3 linked regions of the Drosophila melanogaster genome follow. The protein of the gene in region 2 interacts with the protein of the main gene of each other region in a biochemical or structural test. Each region holds a gene or a part of one and is shown on either strand. Other genes may lie near its edges.

The links. The genes of interacting proteins can lie anywhere in the genome.
Region 1: the proteins of Pbp45 (region 2) and Tbp form a complex in vitro, tested with the Drosophila melanogaster proteins (one study listed by BioGRID).
Region 3: the proteins of Pbp45 (region 2) and Bdp1 form a complex in vitro, tested with the Drosophila melanogaster proteins (one study listed by BioGRID).

The regions. Positions count from the first base shown.
Region 1 is NT_033778.4:21,684,593-21,691,021, forward strand, and holds Tbp (TATA binding protein), read right to left. Parts: upstream 3,051-6,429; 5' UTR 2,861-3,050; coding exon 2,078-2,860; intron 2,014-2,077; coding exon 1,735-2,013; 3' UTR 1,600-1,734; downstream 1-1,599. Other genes in the region: stum (stumble), read left to right, coding at 1-44, 109-221; eIF3k (eukaryotic translation initiation factor 3 subunit k), read left to right, coding at 784-854, 921-1,518; BaraC (baramicin C), read right to left, coding at 3,512-3,798, 3,867-3,918; CG10307 (uncharacterized protein), read left to right, coding at 4,451-4,630, 4,692-5,276, 5,335-5,595; Tim10 (translocase of inner membrane 10), read right to left, coding at 5,755-5,882, 6,046-6,196; CG42497 (uncharacterized protein), read right to left, coding at 6,249-6,408. UniProt on the Drosophila melanogaster protein: General transcription factor that functions at the core of the DNA-binding multiprotein factor TFIID.
Region 2 is NT_033777.3:15,835,303-15,843,082, reverse strand, and holds Pbp45 (PSEA-binding protein 45kD), read left to right. Parts: upstream 1-3,567; 5' UTR 3,568-3,670; coding exon 3,671-4,762; 3' UTR 4,763-4,937; downstream 4,938-7,780. Other genes in the region: spn-E (spindle E), read right to left, coding at 1-765, 833-980, 1,037-1,626, 1,678-1,811, 1,901-2,553, 2,651-3,384, 5,103-5,345, 5,403-5,600; ND-23 (NADH dehydrogenase (ubiquinone) 23 kDa subunit), read left to right, coding at 6,054-6,093, 6,277-6,728, 6,797-6,958; Arpc3A (Actin-related protein 2/3 complex, subunit 3A), read right to left, coding at 7,533-7,780.
Region 3 is NT_033779.5:13,369,828-13,377,543, forward strand, and holds Bdp1 (B double prime 1), read right to left. Parts: upstream 3,998-7,716; 5' UTR 3,877-3,997; coding exon 2,868-3,876; intron 2,810-2,867; coding exon 2,481-2,809; intron 2,427-2,480; coding exon 1,677-2,426; 3' UTR 1,600-1,676; downstream 1-1,599. Other genes in the region: ND-B22 (NADH dehydrogenase (ubiquinone) B22 subunit), read right to left, coding at 541-737, 797-936, 1,015-1,112; CG6565 (uncharacterized protein), read left to right, coding at 4,677-5,324, 5,384-6,013; CG9302 (uncharacterized protein), read right to left, coding at 6,886-7,148, 7,212-7,716.

The DNA.
Region 1 (6,429 bases), on a different chromosome or scaffold from region 2:
GGGCTGGTCCATTTGGTGGGGCACCATAATGCTTAGATGTGCAAGTAAGGAAAAAGTGTCTCATTTTAAATTGCAGCCACTCATTACCCATTCATGTTGCACTTACAGAGAAATTGAGCAAAATCAAAAAGGTGGAGCGTTTGGAGCTGGAGGAGGAGCAACGCCAGGCGCAACTGGCGGAGGCTGGGAAAAACGGCGTCGCCGAGGCGGACAAGACATAGTCCTCCGATCCCGGTTACAACTAAGTTGCTTTTTATACCATTGTGTACATACTTTTGTACAAAACATGTAGATTACACAAGACATGCACTTCCACATGAACTTCCAGGTTAAGCAAAACGGAACGGAACTTCCCTTAAACATGAGATACATACGTGTATATGTATTAAAATCATTAAACTTCCACTTAAATATGTGTTTTATTTATTGGACTTTATTTGTTGCGCAGAAAAACAATTTTTGAGATTCTATAAGATTTCAGAATGTTTGAGCAACCCAAGACGTAAGGTAAGTAAAGTGGTTAAATACCCAGCAAAAGTGAAATGCGAGTTATTCGAACTTTAAAATAAACTAGTTTGTAAATTCGAATATTTTCTTCGCGTAACGGGAATTTTGAAATGGAATTCAGGAATACCCCTTGCAGATTCCCACACAATGTGACCGCATTCCGTTTGTTTGCATCGGCAAATGCGAGTTCAGCACTGCGGTCACACCGAATCTTTCTTTATTAAAATAAAAAACACGACGTCAACTTGCGAATTTCATACAAATTAGCCGTAGAAAATGTCGCACCTCGTGAAAATGGAAAACGGCCAGAGCCAGACCATCCAGGAGATGCTGGGCTGCATCGAGCGGTAAGAACTGCACAAATTCACTCAGTTATGATGCTTAGTAAAAACATAACCTCGCTTTTGCCGCAGCTACAACCCAGATCATCTGAAAACACTGGAGTCCTATGTGCAGGATCAGGCTAAGAACAACACCTACGACCTGGAGGCCAACCTGGCCGTGCTGAAACTGTACCAGTTCAACCCGCACATGCTGAACTTCGACATCACGTACACCATTCTGCTGAAGTCACTGACCAGCCTGCCGCACACGGATTTCGTGATGGCCAAGTGCCTGCTGCTGCCCCAGCAGATGAAGGACGAGAATGTGCAGACAATCATCGACCTCGCCGACATACTGGAGCGGGCGGACTTCACCCTCTTCTGGCAGCGGGCCGAGGTGAACCGCAACATGTTCCGCCACATCACCGGCTTCCACGATTCAATTCGCAAGTTCGTCTCGCATGTGGTGGGCACCACATTCCAGACAATTCGCAAGGACCTGCTTAAGGAGCTGCTCGGCGGCATCGAGGACTCGACGCTGGAGAGCTGGATCAAGCGCAATGGCTGGAAGAACCAGGGCCAGGGACTCGTCATCGTGGCCATGCAGGACGACAAAATCAAGACGAAGAACATTACGGAGAAGATCGAGTTCGACAACGTGGGCGCCCTGATGGCCCAGTGCCTGTAGGAACCTCATTCGCGTTCATAGTCCTTGTCTAAATTTTTACGAATAGTAATTAACGGAAAAAAAATAATAATAAAAGCCTGTCCGTACAGCTAAATTACTTTGTGGTTTATTCTCGATCGGAGCTGCTCGCCAGGCTGCTCCCACTCATATGATCAGACTTCCAGAACTACCGACCTTAAAACGTACACGTACAGAACTAATAAAGCGCTATCCTATTTATGACTGCTTCTTGAACTTCTTTAAAATGGGGAATATCTTGTCGAAGGCATCGTAGATCTCCTGCCGCACCTTTGCTCCAGTGAGCACCACCTTTCCGGACACGAAGATGAGGAGCACGATTCGAGGTCGCACCATACGATAGATTAAGCCGGGAAATAGCTCAGGCTCGTAGCTGCTGAAGTTGCAATGGGTCAGCACCAGGCCTTCCAAGCGTATGGGGAACTTGACATCGCAGGAGCCGACCATGTTTTGAATCTTAAAGTCGAGGAACTTTGCCTGCGGGAGAGAAAGCGTTAGAGATTCGCCGGGAAGAGAAAGGAAATGTAAAGTCTTGTCTTACAGGGAAACCGAGCTTTTGGATGATGCGCGCATACTTTCTCGCTGCCAGTCTGGAGTCGTCCTCACTCTTTGCCCCTGTGCACACCATCTTGCCGGAGCTGAAAATAAGGGCGGTGGTCCGGGGCTCTCGGATTCGCATAATCACAGCCGCAAATCGCTTAGGATTGTACTCGGCGTTTCTCGCATGCAATGCTATTTTCTTGAGGTCCAGTTTGCAGCACAGATTAACCGTGGACACGATGTTCTGAAGTTGTGGCACAATACCGGGATCAGCGGAACCTGGTGTGGCTGGTGTCATCGGCGTGGAGGGGCCCATCGTCTGGTGGATGTTGCTCAGGGCATCTCCGCCACCTCCGGCCCCCGAACCGCCCACACTCCGCTCACTCATGGGCATCATGTGGGCCATCATGCTCTGCGGCGTCTGCGGCTGCATCATGGACTGCGGAGTGCTCCCACCGCCGCCGGGCGCCTGACTCTGGAGCTGCTGTTGCTGCTGCTGCTGCTGATAGGAGGCCGATGGCTGGTAACTCTGCATTTGTTTGTGCGCCAGCGGGAGCGATGGTTCGTGGCCAAAGAGACCTGATCCCCCACTGGCGTCCGACTGCTGTTGCTGCTGCTGGTGCTGCACGGAACTGGAACCGGGTGCCGGCATCAACGAATCCGGCTGCGATACAGCCGGAGGATGGTACACAGGATTGGCCACTATCTGCTGGTCCGCTTCCATCTGGTGGAGCGGCGTTCCGATGCTCGGAATCGAGAAGTTGGGGCTTAGCATTTGGTCCATCTTACAGATGGTTTATTGTGGACTCCGGTGAATTTTTCAGTGACTCAATTCAAGATTGCTGAACGGGCTCAACTTTGGGTTTTAATTGCATACCCACAGAGCGGGAAATTAATTTAATAGTAATAATAATAATAATGTAATGCAACCGCGTTCGTCGTTGTACCTGTGGCTCGTTTTGTGAGAATGGCAAAGTCAGCGCTGCATTTTGCCGCAACTATCGATAGCTGGCTGGGTCTTACGTTTATCGTTACGTTCTTAGCATTTAAGTATTTCATTGAAAATATGTATGAAAATAATTATAACAATAATTATCTTTGATTGTATTTTAATGTTTAGTTAAAAATCACACTTCAACGTTTCAAATATTTCTTATACGTTAAATCTCTCCCTTACGTTGTTGCCAATCGATAACTAAAATGGCGCACTTTTCAAAAGAATCAAGTATACTTTGTTGTACTTCTGTTTAATAGCTAAATAATTTGTGTATAAGGTGAACAAAAGAAATAGCGAATAAATAATAGTGCATAATACTTAGAAGGAAAATGGTTATTCTCATCTATGCAGTTTCAGCAATAGATTTTCGTGGGCGTGAACTGAAAAACGATGTGTTAAAAATTAATTAATTGGAACTTTTGCACTTGGAAAGTGCAATTAAATGGTTATTAAACTAATTAGAAAAATGAGAACGCCGCCCATGCTGAAACCGAAGGTTGAATAGGCCAAACTTGTGACAGTTGCCGTTGAGGAATGGGTGTAAGTATTTCCGTGCTCATCGGTGTAGGAATGCTGCCCACTTGAGGGTGAGTTTTGGAACGTTCCTCCCATTTCGGGCACTGTGTAGGGTCCTTCGTTCTGACCCCGTATGTAAATGCCGTTTCCAGGTGTGCCGAACTCATGGGGACCATTTCTTCCATCATAATTCTGCTGCGCATTTGTCACTGGAGAAAAATAGAGAGAGAGTGTTGAATGGATGTGGCGGTTCTAGTGGTTCCCACACTTGACTTACCGGCAAACAACAGCGTGCTCACTATGAAAACAAGTAAAGTACACGATCTCATGATGCAGTTTCCAGTCACTGAGCTCAATTTCAACTGAGAGCGGCTCGGTAATTTACAATCTATTTATATAAACCGATAGAAAGACGAGCTTTTTGCCAATTAGCAGCTGAGAATGGGTAATGTCAAATGTTGAGCTTTCCTTGTGCGACAAACATTACAAGCGACAATGTACCAATTTTAAAATAGAACTACCCTATTGCCAATATCTAGCATTTTGCGCATGCCTTTACCCAGGAAATGAAATTTTTAATTTTAGTTCATCAGCTTGGGAAGAGAAGGCAGGCAAAAGAGAGTGCAGCAAATAGAGATTTTTGTGCATATATAGACTCCGAGAATCGTTATATAACATGCACTCAAAACAAACGAAAAAACGCGCAAATCGGGCGACAGTTCGAAACTACAAAAGACAAGGCCTGAAAACTAAGCTACTAGCGCCAAAAACAGAGTAGGTTTTCCAAAGAGTGTGAAATAGTTTGGAACCCAAGACAACCAAATTCAAGTGCTGCAGAAGTAAACACTTAATAAGGGCGACATGGAGAAGGTTTGTCAGTTTTTCCGCAACAACTACGTGCTGGCCAATTGCGAGGATGCCATATACAAAAAGGCATTCTCCCTGAATCTGTCCCACTACCAAATCTCCGACGTTCCGGGCATCATAGAGAAGTGCGAGACGCTGATGAAGCTGTTCCTCAACCAAAACAAGCTAACAAAGGTGGCACCTGGTGCACAAGATAGCCAATGAAATAATAGACTCACAATCCCTTGACTCACAGATTCCATCCTCCATTGGTAGTTTGATGCGACTTCAGGTCCTCACGTTGGACTACAATAAACTGGACGAATTCCCGCTCTGCATCTGTCGTTTGGTCCGGCTGAAGTTTCTCAACATCAGCTGCAATAACATTAGTAGTTTGCCACCCGAACTGGGATACCTCACTCAGCTGGAGACGTTCTGGTGCAATAATACTGGGCTCCTGGAGCTGCCCAACGAAATTCGTAACTGTGAACACCTCGAGACGCTGGGCGTACGGGGAAATCCCTTGAAGAAGTTGCCCGATGCCATAGGCGCTCTGTCCTCCCTGCGTTGGCTAACAGCCGAGGGCTGCGAACTCAGCGAAGTGCCACTGACCATGGCGTTGCTGGGAAATTTGGTGCATCTGAATCTTAAGGGGAATCGATTGCGACGGCTGCCCAGGATGCTGATGGCCATGCAGAAGCTGCGGTTTGCTTTTCTCAACGAAAATTGTATTGACGAGATGCCCACGCGGTCACAACTGGAGGAGTTGCGGACTCTTCACATGCTCAACCTGTCCAAGAATCCCATCAGCCTGCACCGCGATCTACAGCTAATGGCTTTGGTGAAGCTCCAAATTAACCTTTGTGTTTCTTTTTGTTGAATTTCTCTGAATTTTACAGCGCCAGACGAACCTTTATGTGGAGCTGCCGTCAGATCCCGCCAATATTTGCGATGGTCTCGCCAGTCGAGCTAGCCTCAACGCCCAGGAACAGCAGGAGGATCAGGCGCGAGGAGCAGGACAGGATCTAGACTCCTCCGACTGGGCGAACAGCGTGCGGACCAGCGAACTGGACACAACGGACGAGAGTGCGCTGGAGAACAACATCGAGGATCTGAGTGTCATGCTGCCGGAAATGTCGCGCTTTGTCACCACCTTTTGAATGCATTAATCTGTGTCAACGAGGTCTGATATTATGTAGCACACATAAATCTGTGGTTTATTCTCTACAACGGGGTGTTTTGTACATGTACCTCTAACAATCGTAGCGCTTCAAAAATGCACATTGGTTAAGCGGAAATGTGGGTTAATGGGTGCCAGGTTAACTAGACATCTTCTTCATCAGCTCCTCGTCCTGCATGGACATGGCCGTCAGCTTCTTGCCGATCTTCTCGTGAATGTCCAGATATTTGGCCACACAGCGATCGATGCACACCATCTCGCCTTTGCCTGTAGGGTGCGGAAAGCATTAAAATTACAAGTGTAGAATTGTGGTACAAGTTTCAAGATTTCTATTTAAATTTCATCAATCGAATCAAAGAGAAACCTGAAGTGATTGTCATAGAAAGAGCTGCGAACTAGATACAGCATTCTATATGGCTATGGTACTCACCCAACTCCGACTCGGAGTAGCGCGGCGGAATGCACTTTTTGTGGCAAGCGTTCGTCATGCGGTTATATAAATCGGACATCATTTCGATCTCCATTTCCTGCATCAGCTGCAGCTTGGCCTGGTCTGCGGTGCTGATCTGGGGCAATGCCATTGTGTGGGTGTGGGTGTGTTACTGATGGGTTTTAGGTACTGGATGCTGCCGCTTAGTAATCGAATCGCCTGTCCGATGCTGCGCTTGAGTCGTAATCCCCTTGGTTTGCCTTCCTCATGCGCTCACGCACTCGCATGCTCTCGTAACGCCGGTTCTCAACGGATCTCTTTGACAGCACAAATGCGTAGACGCCACCCACGGTCAAAACAGTCCTGTTTCGGGATTTTCAAACA
Region 2 (7,780 bases):
TCGCATAGTACATTCCAAAGGACTGTTGGGTCCTTTCAACATTACAACGGTCTTGCACTTTTCCAGCGGAGGCGGTGGTAGATCGTGGTCTTGCGGCAGCTGACAGGATCGCAGATATTCCTCATTGATCTGTTGACGCTGCGCCGTGCTCAAGTTCCGGGCAGATTCTTGACGTCGCAAACGGAAATCATGATCTTTTCTAGACATATAATCTTCGTCGGATCGACGGCACAACATAAGCTCTACTAGCTTATCGTTGATTATGCCATCTCTCATATGAATGAGAACAGCTGCTACATTATTGAAAAGCGAATACACCTCAATATCGATTAGACCGCATTGGGCCACTGTCTTGAGCATATCATTAGCCGCGGTGGACCACCTATTGTTTCCACTGACCACTGAAGAGGGCTGAACCATTGCCAGCCTGCACTCAAAAACACGTGGCGGAAGGTCGCCGTACTGTTCAGTTAGCTCTCTCGGCATCAAACGCATTAGCTGCATGGGCAGCAAAGTGCAATTACCATAGTCGATGAAGCGAACGTAGAACATTGGTTGGCGATTGCTCTGATTCTCTGGCCGGATCACTGTGGCGCGCTGGAAATAACTATCGCGTTTGGCCAACACCATCATGCCCTTTGCGATGGCACTCGCGTTAGTTACGTAATTTCTTAGTTGCTGTGGAGCATTGAAAATTTCAGACATATTTCGAATGCACTCTTCAAAAGATTGGGGTTGAAAAAAGAACTTGCCACAGTTGACGATCTGTAAGATAGGAAAAATAAAAAAAATACTTTGAAATTCTCTAGATTTGTGTGGTGCAGCAGCTTACGCAAGTAATCGACCCTGAAATAGTTTTGTCAAAGACAGATGGCAGCGCAAGAAGCTCGACGTTTAAAGGCTTTGTGGGTGGAATCCAACGGCCCTCAATCACATCTCCAATCCCTCGCTGCTGTACGTAGCTCATAAATGCACTCGGACTGTAAATGATTAAACATAAGCTTCATAATCGATAGTAAAAGCCTTGATAACTCACTTCATTATGTGGATTGGCCGTTCGACACGATTTTGTCGCATCATAACTGCCTTGTACACCTCACTTTGAACTCTGCCCGACACAGGAACATACTTAGATGAACCTTCAATCCAGTCATCCTGTTTGAAAGTGACAAAGACCTTTTGCGAACCCTCTTGAAAAGTAACGTCCATGTTTTCCGGCGGAATCCTGACCTCCTGAAATAGCTCCTTAATGCGCCTAGTGTACAACTCGCCCATGTAGGCAGGCTTAAAATTGGTAAAATATACGGTGCGGCAGGGATCGTGGCCCGATATTGTCTGGTATATATTGCGATCTGTGTCTGCACACGACTCTTTGGAACGCGTAAAGTAGTTTGGGTAGAAGGCACCTGCAATGATCACTTTGAGCATGATCGCTTTTTCACGATCGTCCATCATTTGGTTAGGATTAACAGGAAACGGAATCAGACCGAGATGCGTGCATCGCACACGCAGTTCCTGCACCAACAAGTGTATCTCCTTAAGTGACCGCAAGGAGACGTGGAAACGTTTGGCCCAACGGATAGCAGACTCCTGGTCGTGACCATTTTCCACAATGTTCAAATATGTCTGCCGAAGAAACAAGTTATTACGCTATTAGTAATGCATCGCATAACTTACCAGATACACGCGCCAAATGGCCACCAAGTCGGAGCCAGATCCATCGGAGAAGATATAGTGCATCCAAAATGAATCGCCTAATTGAGACCTACCACCTTCGTGCGCAAACAAGCCAGGCGTCGATAAGCCAGCAGCTACAACATATTTAAAAAAAAAATCATTAATGCAAGACAAAGAATATTCCCCCCGTTATCCTAAAGCTTAACTACTGTTGCCCGCTTACCTATAATAATAGCTTCTTCGAGCATGTTAAAAATATAACCCAATATGATAAGCCGGGACTGACGTGTGTCCAACGGCAGCCGAGACATGATTGTGCCCCAGTAGGTAAGATCGCCATCCAACGGGTCGTAGATGCCGTCTACTGTTAAGTACAGAGCACCCACCTCTTTCAGAAGCAATATTGTATTGTGTATGTCCGACAGATTCGGCGGAGATAGAGCCAATGCCAAGATTTCCACCGGTGATCCCATATTCAGCACTTTGGCCTTGAGCACCGAGTTTTGCAAGGGCAAGCGCAACATTTCTGGTATTCCAAACTCGGGCATTTCCCTCTGATAGAAGTGTTTATTAACCATACGGTAAACGCGTCCACTACGAAGACGACCAACGCGGCCGGCACGCTGACGACAATTGGCTTTGGACGCCCAGGTTAAGCGGAGCGAAGAGAAGCTGCTAGCCGTATCGGTTACCTTTACTTTGGCAAGACAAAAGTCAATAACGTATGAGACATCTGGCACCGTGATGGAGCTCTCAGCAATGTTTGTGGTCAGAATGATCTTGCGGAAACCGGGAGGCGGGGGATTGAAGACATCCCGTTGGTTTTCCGGTGTCATTAACGAAAAACAGCGAACAATAGAGACCTTAATGTTGGGGCTGCAATTAAACAATAAAGATTGGAAATTATAATGATACAATTTTAGCTACTTCAAAATTTGTACAGTGAGCAATTCTCACGGATAACAATGCTTACTCGTTTTCCAGCATACAAGTAAGATTTTCTGCCATCGTGTCGATTTCGTAGATGCCTGGCAGAAAGATGAGCACAGCTCCATAGCGCAGGGCCTCGTCATAGCTCTGCCGCGACTGGATTGCAGCCTTCCGTTCCATGTTGTCAATAATCACTATGATCTTTACCGCTGCCCTGTAACCGTGTTTGTTGATTTCTGGCACCTGCTGGTGTCCCACATCTTCCTCATTCCAAATAATGCTGCCGAGCTGGTCACGGTAGAACTTCTCGATCGAGTGCTTACGTCGATGATTGGTGGTGATCACTGGCGGAATTGAGTTAGTGGTGGTAAAGTAGTCGGACAGTTCCTTGGCATCGATGGTGGCCGACATCAGGATAATCTTTACATGCCGCGAGTTCGTGGCCAGCAAGCGACGCACCACGATCAGAAGAAAATCCATGTTCTGGTCTCTTTCATGCACCTCGTCCAGCACAATGTGGGTGTAGTGGGTCAACGTCTTGTTGTTAATCAAATTGTTCAGCAGCACCCCGGTGGTGCAGTACAACAGACGAGTGTCCTCCAAAGAGTTCGGGCGGTGCAGGCCCACCTGGAAGCTGCACACCGTGTTCTGCTGCCACTCGCGCTCCTGGCAAACTCTATTCGCTATGGAGATGGCAGCTATGCGCCGGGGTTGTGTCACCACAATGTTGCAGTATTTACCGCTTTTATAGGCCTCATCCAAAATGTATTGGGGCACCTGTAAGAATAATTGATTGAATACTAATAATAATTATAAGAAAATATCTAAATATTTACAAAGCAGAACAAAAATGTAATTGTATTTTTTACACATTTTTCAAACAGTTTTTATAGTTTTGCGCTTTTTTTTTGAAAATAGCTAAGCAGTTATGAACACTACATATTTATCGATGAACTCCCCGGCTAGTGTTGTAAAAGCTTATTCCCGGCGAATGTTATTGTTTATATTTTGAGGCTCTTTTGAATGAGAGATGCGCATATATTTCGCGTAATTAAGATTCAGAATGGAGCTGAATATCTTTGACGACTGCTGGGAGCTGGTGCAACGATTTCAGCGATTGGTTAATGATGGCGAAAACTGCGAGTTCGAGGTGTTCTGCCGGTGCTGGCGAGAACTGCAGCTGCAGCACCTCTTCACTGCCCAGACGAACCACACAGAGGTGATAGCCACCACACTGGCGGCCCTGCATGTGGCCAAGCGACTGTCGTGCTCCCGACGCACCACCGGGGACGTTTTCCCGGCATCTCGCGCTCAAAGGATCGGAGGTTTCTTTCTGCTCTACGTAATCTACTACAAGCAGCCCACGCACAACTTTATTAAGATCGAGGTCTCACCGCGCACTTGGCAAGAACTAACAGACTACGCTCTAGATCTGCGCAAGGATAGTCCGGAGCGGAAGGACACTCATCAGATCGCCTACATGCTGTGGCGCCTGACCCAGGAGCAGGCCTTCCGCTTCACCGCGCTCGACTATTGCCAGGGGTTGGACAATCTGGTGGACTACGACCGTGTGGAGACCGTAGCGGGTGCCAAGGAACAGAGGCAGAGTGCCTTGATGCAGAAGCAACAGCGTGCGAACGGCGTCAGTCTCACATACGAACTGGAGGGTCTGCGAGCACTGGACCAGGCAAGCCAGCCATTGTGTGAACTGGAAGCGGCATACAATGCCCAAAAGAAGCAATTGGCGGCTGGTCATGAGCACGCTTTGCCGCCCTCTCAAATATTCGGCCATTTGCGAGAAGTCTTTGCCGATATCCAAAGTGTTCTAGGAGCTAGAAAGAGTACTCCAGATGAGAATTGTACCACAACATCTACAGGCAACCAGTTGGAAGTGCGCCAGAGGGTGCGGAACAAGGCCATGTACGGCGTCGAGGAACGGGAGCCGCAAAACCAGGCGGATGAACTAGAAGTGCAGCTGGAGGTCAACGAGACTTATCAACGCCGCATGTCCTCGGCCACCGTTTTTCAGAGGGAACTTCCAGCAGACGTGCAGCAAGAGTATGAGATGATTGAGTTTAGTGACGACGAGGAAATGGAAGTGGGTGAAAGCGAGGAGGTCACGGAAGAAGAACTCAAAGCTATTTTGGATACTTGAGTTAGTTTATAAAACTTTTACATAATTAAATAACTAGCATTTTTGCGCGATGTGATCTTGTTTATCTGTTGCACATAAAATATTCATTGTATTTAAGTATGTAGGATAGGATATATAACTATATAGGATATAAGTTTCCTAGGCTTTGCTATTCTTATATAAAGAGTTGAAAAGTATATTGAAGATTATTATTTATTATATAATATTAAATACTCTCGACTAGTTTGGATTTGAATTTCAAAAGTCGAGGATAAAAGGTTTAATTATAATTCGCTTGCGTTGGCTTTATTAAAATATAGACTTAATAAAAAAGTTAGGATTTTATTTAAGTTTTGCTCACCTGCGTGGTCTTGCCACATCCTGTTTCGCCCTTAATAATGACTACCGGATGAGCATTGATGGCCGCCAATATTTCCTCGCGCTTGGCGTAGATGGACAAGTTCTTGTCGCGATTCAGATTGAATCTGAACTTCTTGTAGTACTCGTCATCCCGGCGAATTTCGGTCTCTTCCCCCTCATCGTCGGTGTCCAAATCGTCCAGCGTTCGAATGCGTTTGCCTTGAGGCTGTTCGTTGAGCAGCGTCTGGATCGAATTACACATAAACAAACAGAAGTGCTGACGCAAGCTTCCAGTTCTCACCCCGTTCAGGAGACACTTTTCCTTGGCGACGATTTTGCTGACATAGTCGGTGCCGATCAACTCGCGGTTGGGCACTTCGGATGATTTGAACTTCGTGGCCATTAGCCTCGGATCGCTGCTGATGTAGCCTTGCGGGGCGGCGGCCACGCGCTTCAACTCCTTCGAGAAGTCAAAGAAATCCATAACCTCCTGATCCATTTTCCGACATAAACAATGAAAAATTTCACAATTCCGCGTAGCGGGAAAAGTTAAACTGTAAATTGTAGTGGTGGGGATTTTCAAAGTCAATGTTGAAAAGTGTAAAAGTGCGAATTTATATCGATAGTGCCATTATCGAAGCTTTAAGGTTTTTATTAGGGGTATTCGTATAAAAAAAATGTTTTCTTTTTTTTCTCACAGTCTTTCTGGATTATTTGTTAATATTATTTATTATTTTTACACGAATATTTAATTCTTTGTTACATTATTTATATTTTATATCTCATATTTTATTTTTGGTTTATGTCATTAAGAAACTACGATATATTTGAATACGATATTTGAGCATTGAATTTATGTGGGTAATCGAAAGAAACCCAGCTCTAATTTGTTCGGGCAAATTCAATAGCAAAACAACTTCTTTGGCAATTTTAGTTTAATTTGGTCGCAAAAATGTCGCTAACTATGCGAATTTTCACCGCATCGCGCAACGGTAGGTGGCGACCCATCCCCTCACATCCGTTGTTTTCCGGGAAATTTCCCATTTTCGTGGAAATCGCGGCGAGTGAGGTTATGTAAGCTTATGTCATACCAAAACAAAAGTCTAAACTCGCTTAATTCAGTATAACTTTTCGACTTAAGCATGTTATTTAATGGTAAAATGTTCTCCCCACAGGACAGCGCCTGTTTGGCAGCCATGGAGCCCGGCTGCTGGCCGCCCAGCGAGCAGAACCCAAAGATATCGTCGAGGTTCCCAAGGGCTATGTGTATGTAAACAACAAGGAACTGAGCATGGAGTTTGCCGACATCACGGACCGTGCTGCATCCACCATGTTCTTCGGTGAACTCTTACGTGGATTTGCCGTCACCCTGGCGCACATCTTCAAGGAACCGGCCACTATCAACTATCCCTTTGAAAAGGGACCACTGAGCCCGCGATTCCGCGGAGAACATGCCCTTCGTCGTTATCCCAGTGGAGAGGAGCGCTGCATCGCTTGCAAGCTATGCGAGGCTATTTGCCCCGCACAGGCGATCACCATCGAAGCGGAGGAGCGCGCGGATGGCAGCAGACGTACCACACGCTACGATATCGACATGACCAAGTGCATCTACTGCGGATTCTGTCAGGTGAGGAGGAGCAAAGTGGCGCCACAATTTACTAGAAACTAATTGCATCTTTTTGTCCCCCCGCGTAGGAAGCCTGTCCCGTGGACGCCATCGTCGAGGGACCCAACTTCGAGTTCTCCACGGAGACGCACGAGGAGCTGCTGTACAACAAGGAGAAGCTTCTCTGCAACGGCGACAAGTGGGAGTCCGAGATTGCCTCTAACTTGCAGGCCGACCATCTCTATCGTTAAAGTTGCTTGTACCCCTAGAATTCCTTGTTTAGAACGATTTTCCAATTAAAGATCGTTGCTGTGGCTTCGTCTTAAGCGAAAGTCAGTTGTATTTTTTTTAATTACTCAACTGGCCTAATAAATATAAATTATTTATATTCAAAGAGTTCCACGTTGTATTCGACAGATGACAAAGTTTATTTAATTAACAGGCCAATAGAAAGCATTTTTTCCAATGACGGAGCGACTACAAATAAATGAAACTTAGTTAATACTTTACTATTCCGATTTTGATTACACAAATTATAGGCAATAACTTCCATTTGCTGGTCAGTTATTAGAAACAGATATTATTTATGAAAGTTACTTGCAGTTTTATCCACGTTAATTTTGTAAAAAGAATTTACATAAATTAATTAAAACAGAAAGGCTTACAAATTCAAATAATTTATTTAGTGGTTAATGAATTTAATTAATTGTGACACGTTGGCAGTGATACTGCAAATTAGGACCACGCTGCGAGTAAAACTTAATTGAAGGGTATTTTTACCCGTCGTAGAAGCAAAACAAGATACCAGATATTGTGGATAGCTGTTTATTGTCCAGGTCCAGCCAGACTCTTCTCCATGAACTTTTTCTTCGCGAAGCAGGTCCACCATTTATTGGGCTTGCCATCCTCGGTGTTGAAGACCTTCTCCAGTACCCGGTTGCCGGTTTCGTGGCGCAGCTGCAGCAGGTACTGGCGCATCAGATCCGCATCCTGGGCCGTTTGCGGCTTGGCATAGACGGCGTTCAATGGGAAGCCAGCATCGCCGGGAATGTCGAACTTGGAGATGGCCAGGC
Region 3 (7,716 bases), on a different chromosome or scaffold from region 2:
CATATACATATATATTAAATAAAATATACTAAGTACAAAGGAGTTGCAGTCGAACGGTCCTTTCAAAGTTTTGTATCACGCTGATCATTGGTCGAAAGCCCCAGTATTTCTTTAGATTTCAGTTGTACCCAAATTAACACAGCTAAATAATGTTTTTGTGACCAACATATGCATACCTCCTTTTGCAAGAAAATACCATCATTCGTATAAAATGTCGAGTACAAAATTTTGTAAGCTTTGTTACTGCTAGTTCATGAATCACGGTATTTTTTTTTCCATTCTTTGGACTTACCTTAGGAAAATATACATGTACTTCTCGCAAAGTTTGTAACCTAAAATGTAATGCGTTTATAATCTGGGAATTGATCTGCATAACCAATTGTATACACTATTATTGTAAATTGGCAATGAATTATTTTGGCAGAAGGAAGATCGACTGAATTCCAGTACAACACATTTATAATAGCACATAATGTGAGTTCCAATAGATTTACTTTTAAAGACAAAGATTGGATGTGATTTGATTACGGTACTCTAAGATTAGTGGTGTCCCAGGTCCTTGGGGTCGGGCTTGCCGTACTGCTTCTCCCACCAGGTCACAAACTCCTTCTTGCGCTGCTCCCGCTTGGCAAAGTACTCGGGGTACTGGGCCTTCTCCAGGGGATGCCAGTAGTCCAGGACCCAGTCGGGCGGAATCACCTCTCGTTCGAAAGCACAGCCACCGGCACTGTTGGCAACTACAACGATAACACACGTTAGATACACAGACATATGACCATACGTTCAATTTGTTTACAGTTTCGGGGCTGGAAATGCCTTGTCTCGAAAAGCTCCCTTTGTCCACAGGCTAGGAGGCGGATGCCCTCGCCCAGATCTTTGGAGCGGTTTTCGTCGAAGCGAGCACGCAGCTGCACAGCGCGGTAGCGGTAGACATTGCTGATGGGCATTAAGAAACAACCAAGATGCACTTGCTCATTATATAATATTTGGGAATTCTGCGCCGAGTGCACTCACCGTCGGTCGTACCACGACTCTAAGTTGCGCAGTGCTCGCTTGTACAGGCTGCACACCTGGCGCTTGTGCGAGACGATTGCCAAGGGAACTTGGGCCATCGTTTTTTACTATATTGGTTAAATTGTATTAATTTGCTACCGCAGCCGAGGCAACAACAACAACAGCTGTCAAAAGTCCAGTGCTCTAAAGCCCTGCGCCTGAAAATATGTGTTGCGAAGCGAAAAATAATTTTAGAGAACGGCAACTCTGAAATGAATGGAAATTCAAAAAATATTTATATATTTGATTTAAATTTTCTATACAAAAGCAATGGCTATCTTTGCATTTTATACAAGCTTTTGTTATTGCAAGAAATCGAAATGATCCTGTCTAGAGTAGATACCTATAACCAAACACTTTTAATGCTTAAAAGCCTTCTTGCTACCCTATTTTATTTATAAAATAAGACTATTTTGACAAATCTGTTATAATTGTATATTAATTACAATTTTTTTTAGGAATAGTTAAAGAAACCAAGAAAGTCAGTCCCATTTTTGCATTTTTTGCAATTCCCTTTGAATTTGCGAGGAACAAGAAAGTAATTTTGTAAATACATCTAGCGAAATGCTTTAATAAATTATAACTGTTAACAAATACTCTTAAGATATAAATATAAAATGTCGTTAGTCCTCTGGCTGCATAACATTCATTATGCATTGAACAATATGCTCTGGTATTTTCAGAGGCGTTTCGCACAACTCGCCCGTTTTTTTGTCCAGCATGTAGATTTCGTTGAGCACACGATCCTCGTGCTCTGGATCCAAGGACGAGACGAGAGCCAGAGATCCTTCCGCAAGCTCGGCGAGAATTTGTTCGATATCCGGTTCGGTAGTGGACGGCGGAATGGGGTCATCCGGCGTTATAAGTTCATGATCTTGGTCTTCAATGAAGTTTATTAAATATGTCTCTGCCTTTCGATTGGGCGTCTCTGGGGCGGGTTCGACGTCGCTGACATAGCTTAGGGTACCATCATCCATATTGATAATAGTTTTATCACGTGGCTTGTTTACATCTACGTCATATTCCACCGGATCATCCATGAGGAGGCCATTGAGCTCAGCCTGCAGTTCTCCCCCCGTTGGCAAATGACTACTCGTTTGTTCGGTTTTGATCGTTTTTTCCTGCTTAATGGCCGCCACATCAGACAGGCTTTCCGTTGCCGCTGGAACTGAAACCTTGGGAGATCGTCGCTTAGCCTTTGGCTTACGTTTGGCCGGCGCACTTCCGTCGTTCTCATCGGTCTCCAACTCCTTTCGCCTTTTGGCCCAGGCGTGCTTGCCGAGCTTTGTACTCGTTACGTGCTCGTTTTCGTAGACAACATCACCATCGTTTAGTGCCCTTGAGGCCTTGCTTTGCTGCTGTACTCGGGAACGCTAAATATAATTAAAAAATGTAATGGTGATTACAGTCAGCTACAAATTATTTACCTTCTTAGGGTTTCCCGGAAGAGCTCGTGCGATTTCCCTCCACTTGCGATCATTTTCTTCCCTTTCGCGGTCCTCCTCTTCCAGTTGATCCTTGAGCTCCTGAATGTTGAAGGCCTTAGGATAGAGGAGTGCTTTGTTTATGAGCTGCCCATTGGTTCGCTCTTCCTTTTTGTACTTCAGCTTTAGATCCCGACGTGAACGTGTTGGAAACATTTGGCACATCAGCGAGAAGTCCGTCCCAATGATCTGCAGGCTGCGGTAGAAGCGGACGGTCTCATCGGAGGTCCAGTATGGCGTGCGCTTGTGGCGTTTATAGAATCCATTATCTCCTGCAAAGTATAAAATTCGTTAAGTATTCAACTTTTATGTATTAACTCTGCGGCGCACCCGTAGTCTCGTCCATTAGGATTAACGATGAGTTGGCTAGCACCTTGCGGGCCTCCACCTCGGCCGTGGTTTCGATCTCCAATGTTTTCTCATCAATGATCATCTCGCCATTGGCATCAAGCTTTAGCTGAGGCACTAACATAGCGGATGTGGACTCTCCCTTGGGTTCCAATAGTTGACTGACTGCGGGCTTGGAATCATCGCCACCAGACTCATCCTTGATGGTCGTCACCGACTGTTTGGGCACCATGGGATTGTTCTCCGGATTGTAGAAGATCATGTCCATCATCTTGAACGTGGACTTGTCGGGTACACCCTTATTGAAACGGGTTTCAAAGTCTCGCCGGGCATTTAACCGCTGTCCAATTTGACTTTGCGACCTATCGTCGCCCTTCCTCTGCTTGCTACCTCCTTCGGAATAGGTGGAACAGGTGGATTCGGTGCGAATGCGTCCCATGCCCGGACTAGCGGGCGGTAGGTATTTATAGGGGGACGGAGGCATAGGCGAGTGCACCTGCTGCTGCAAAGGAGTTCCCGATGAAGAACCGCTAAGATAGCGCTCTCGCCGCGTGGGCGTGGCTGGCGACTGATAGTCGCCCTCATAATCACTGGCCATGGGTGAGCCCACGAAGCTGTTGCGTCGCTGGCCAAATACCGGAGTGGGTCGCACACGCTGACGGGCTTGAGCCTTGCTGGGCGACATAGGGAAGCCATTGGTGGTCTTCTGCAAGTCCATCTGAATGACATTGTCCTCGAGGTCCGAGTGGAATACCTCTTCCAGCTGCCCAGCCGAGCTTGCGGGCATCTTGAAGGCGATTGCATCAGCCTCTAGTTCCAATTCCGCAGCAGGGGTCGATGCAACGGGCGGGGACTCAGCCTCTGCTTCCACCACCACCGCCTCCTCCTCCTCATCCTCCTTTTTCGCCGTTGGGAGCTCCTCCCTGCGTGGCTTGCGTTTGATAAGCGACAGGTTGGCCGGAGCCTTGATGCGCTGGCGCCGCATGGACATCCTGCCTGGGTACTCTTAGGCTTCTTCCAGGCTCAACCGCAGTTTCACACATCAAATCGAATCAAAATCTGCGCAACAAAAACAATGCGGCCGCAACCACGAGTTTCCCAAGTATAGTGTTGGCTAACGCCAAAGAGCATTCACAGTGTCCTGGCCATGTAAGAAAGTAGACAACCAATTTATTTAAAGTTTCAAAATGGCTATAAAAAACTTGCAGTACCCAAAAGATTTTTTAACAAATAAAAAAAAAACGAGATAACTGCGTTATTAGAAAGCATGTCAAGTAAATTTATTCGCAGTGTCAAAAATAAATTGGTATAAATTATGGCACACTTCACCAGATTCACGTCAAAAATTTGTACACAGTAAAAGTTTGGTTGAATTTAATATTATTTGTGTTTCAGTGTTGCAGAAAAGTGTGATCACTGATCGTAGCTGTCACCTCTCAGCAGGCGGTTTGCGATTTTCCAACACTGCTGCCTGTAACGGCACAACAACAGGAACAACAACAGCGGAATAACAACAGAAGCAGCAGACAAATTGCAAGTTGCACGTTTTTTCTAATCGGGCAAACATGATAAGTCCGCCCAGATCCTAACCAAGCTCTCGTGCAGTAACGCTTCCGGCAAACCTATCGGGTGTGTCCTGGCTAGAAGTACTAAATTCCCAAAGTTTTCTGGCGACAAATGTGCCAAGTGTGCGGGGGCACAGTAATAGCGAAGGAGCATTAAGAAGTCGCCGCACTTTTGAGTAGGTTGTTATGCAAGCGGGCGGCCGACGGACAAATTGAATTAGCCGGCATGCTGTTCAATCGATTTGTACTGGCCATCAAGAACCAGTCCCGAGAAACGCTGCGTGCCTGGAGCTACCAATGCGAGTCGATTTTCGCCCAGCGCTCGCGTCGCGTTCAGCAGTTGTTCAGTTTCTACCAGTCGGTGTATGGAACTCAGGGTCTGAAGCAGCTATGGCGCGCCTACTACCGCCGGGAGCTGCAGCCTCCGCTGCGGGGAATGGTGATGAGTGCAGTGGGTCTCGTCGGGCTGAATATCAAGCGAATGGGTAGCGATGGCTTCGATTGGAACAAGGAGCGCCTGGCCTTGTCCAACTTTGATCTGTGCCGCCGGGATATTGAGTTTATCAACGCCCTGCCCAACAATCAGCTGTGCGACCGCTGCCAGGCCAAGAAGATGAAATACTGCTACTGTCAGCTGGGCAACCAGCGCTGCAAAAAGGGCCAATCCCAGCCGTCCACCAGCAAAGAGGCGGAGACGGATCCGGACACCAGCATCAGCAATTGTCTGCGACCGTTGGATCTGGACGTGCGCAATGCACCGGCCGGAACGGTACGCATTCAGGCCCAGGACGACCAAAAATGGGAGCCGTACTTTAGCAAAAACGAATTCAGCATTTGGCGGCGGCAGGAGCGCTCCTCCTTATACTCATACAAGGTAAGAGGCCATCTAAAAGTTTTTTAGGGCTCACTTTTATGCCGCCTTTCCGTTTGCAGGTTTATGCTCGATTCGACGACATCACAGCGGACGACTTCCTCCACGTTCAAACGGATTTGGATTACCGTCGCCAGTGGGACGACACGGCCCTAAGACTTGAGCTCATCAGCGAGGATCCCGTCCCGGGCAGCAACTCGCATCTGATATACTGGGAGATGCAGTGGCCACGACTGTTCGCCAATCGCGACTACGTCTATTGTCGCCGCTACATAAAAGACGACAACAAGAAGCTGATATTCATTTGCAACCGCGGAGCCACGCACAACACCTATCCGGCGTTGTCTGGAAAAGTTCGCGTCACTGACTATTGGAGCCTGATGGTCATCAAGCCCTTTCGCGGTTTCCATGAGCCAGGCCTCCACTTTGTCCTCACGTACTTCGACGATCCGGGCATACCCATACCGCAGAATATTAAGTCCTGGGTTACTCAGAAACAAATGCCCGAGTTCCTCACCAAGATGTACGTGGCCACCAAGAACTACGCCTGCTCACGGGCCATCAAGATGAAGGACATGTTTCACGGATTCGCGCTTATCAATGACGAATATACGGCTAATGAGCAACGCGGCAGTTGGTTGGGCAGTTTGAGCCGGCGCAAGGTCAATAGTAAACCCGAAGCAGGTCGTTAACTCCTTTACCATTATATACCTGGCTGCTCCCGCTCCCATGAGACCTCCCTGCCCAACAGAGCCACGTATCAAACCATCCGAAAGCCCAGTTCCATCTTATGTTCATCCCTTCGATCGGCTTTAAAATTCAGGCGAGAGAAATCGAAACCATTGAACATCAGAGCAAGTGTGCAATAGGTGGAAGTTTTGCTCTTAACATGAGTGCCACTTTGATGAGAAACTTAAAAATAAATATATACCTATATTAGCTATATGGCTAAACCAAAATATTTTAAGTTTAGAAATTGTTTTAAACGCAAATAGAAATTATTGAAATTAATTGTACAATAAAAGAAACGAAAATAGACACCCAGAGACTGAAGTCTACAAAAAAGCAATGTCTTGCATAACTATTGATATTTTACGGCATTAATTTTCATTCATGCATAACATTATCTACACCAGATAGTAACACTCGTGCTTATCAAATAATTGGTCAAGCATTATCTTGAATTACCTTTTTTCAATTACAATTTCTCACCCGAACTTCGGCTATTCTTATCGTGCACTGTATACAAATCAAATTGGCTTAAGAGGATTACACTAATCTGATATGGTATTTAACATACTAATTTATATTTTTAATTAAATTTTATTATTTTATTATAGAGGGATAAGCGCAGTAAAAATGAAATTATACTATTAGTTATAACATAATTTATTAGTATGCTATATAGTTACAAAATGCGCATACATTCTATAAAATATTCGATAGTCTAGACGACATTCAAGCTGATTGTAAACTGAACGGAACGAATACAGTTTATGGTAATACAAAAAGTGAGATTGCAAAGTGTTGTGGGAGAAGCATCGTTATACTTTGCAACAGCGTATCACAGCTCTGTGCGGTCCGCTGAGGTAGGCGGGTTGTTCATATAGGCGATAAAGTCCTTGCTGGTGCGTCCGCCATTGTAATCCAGCTTGGTTTTGAGGTAAGAGAAGTACAGAATGGTGGGATATCCGCGTACGTTATACTTTGCGCAGAGCGCGGCAAGCTTTGTGCAGTCGATGGCGACAAACGCTATCCGAGGATCATCCTGTAAGGCCGTGGCAGCCGCTGTAAACTCCGGTTTTGTGTGCTTACAGTGTCCACACCCTGAAGACGGTTAGTCTTTAGTAGAGCTTTAAATATGTTTAACAATCAAGCGGCAAAACTTACAGGGTGCATAGAACATGACCAGCGCATGCTTTTTCCTCTTCAGCGTCGAACTGAAGTTGTCGTCATCCAGAAATAGGACTTCCTTGCTGTCCTCCTCCTCCTCCCAACTCTTTTCGGGTGGCGGAGGCGGTGGGGGCTCCTTGGGATCTCTCATAAATTCAACAATTTTCGATGCTTCGCGTACATTTACTTCAAACTTAAAGACGCCATTCGAGAAAAACTTAACAGTTGGATAGCCCTTGACTTTGTATTTCTCTGCGATTGACGGCTCCTTCGTTGCATCCAACGCAGCCAAAAGGCCGGGAATCTTTTTCTGCTTCATCTCCAGAGCGGCCTTTTCGTATTCCGGTTTCATGCGCTTACAGTGTCCGCACCAGGGTGCATAGAACATGACCAGGGCGGACTTCTCGTCCTTCAGAGCGGGCTCAAAACCCTGCGAGGTGAGATGGACAATCTCCGAGTTGGTATCCGCCGACCATTCGGGTTCCTTGGGCTTTGGCGTTGG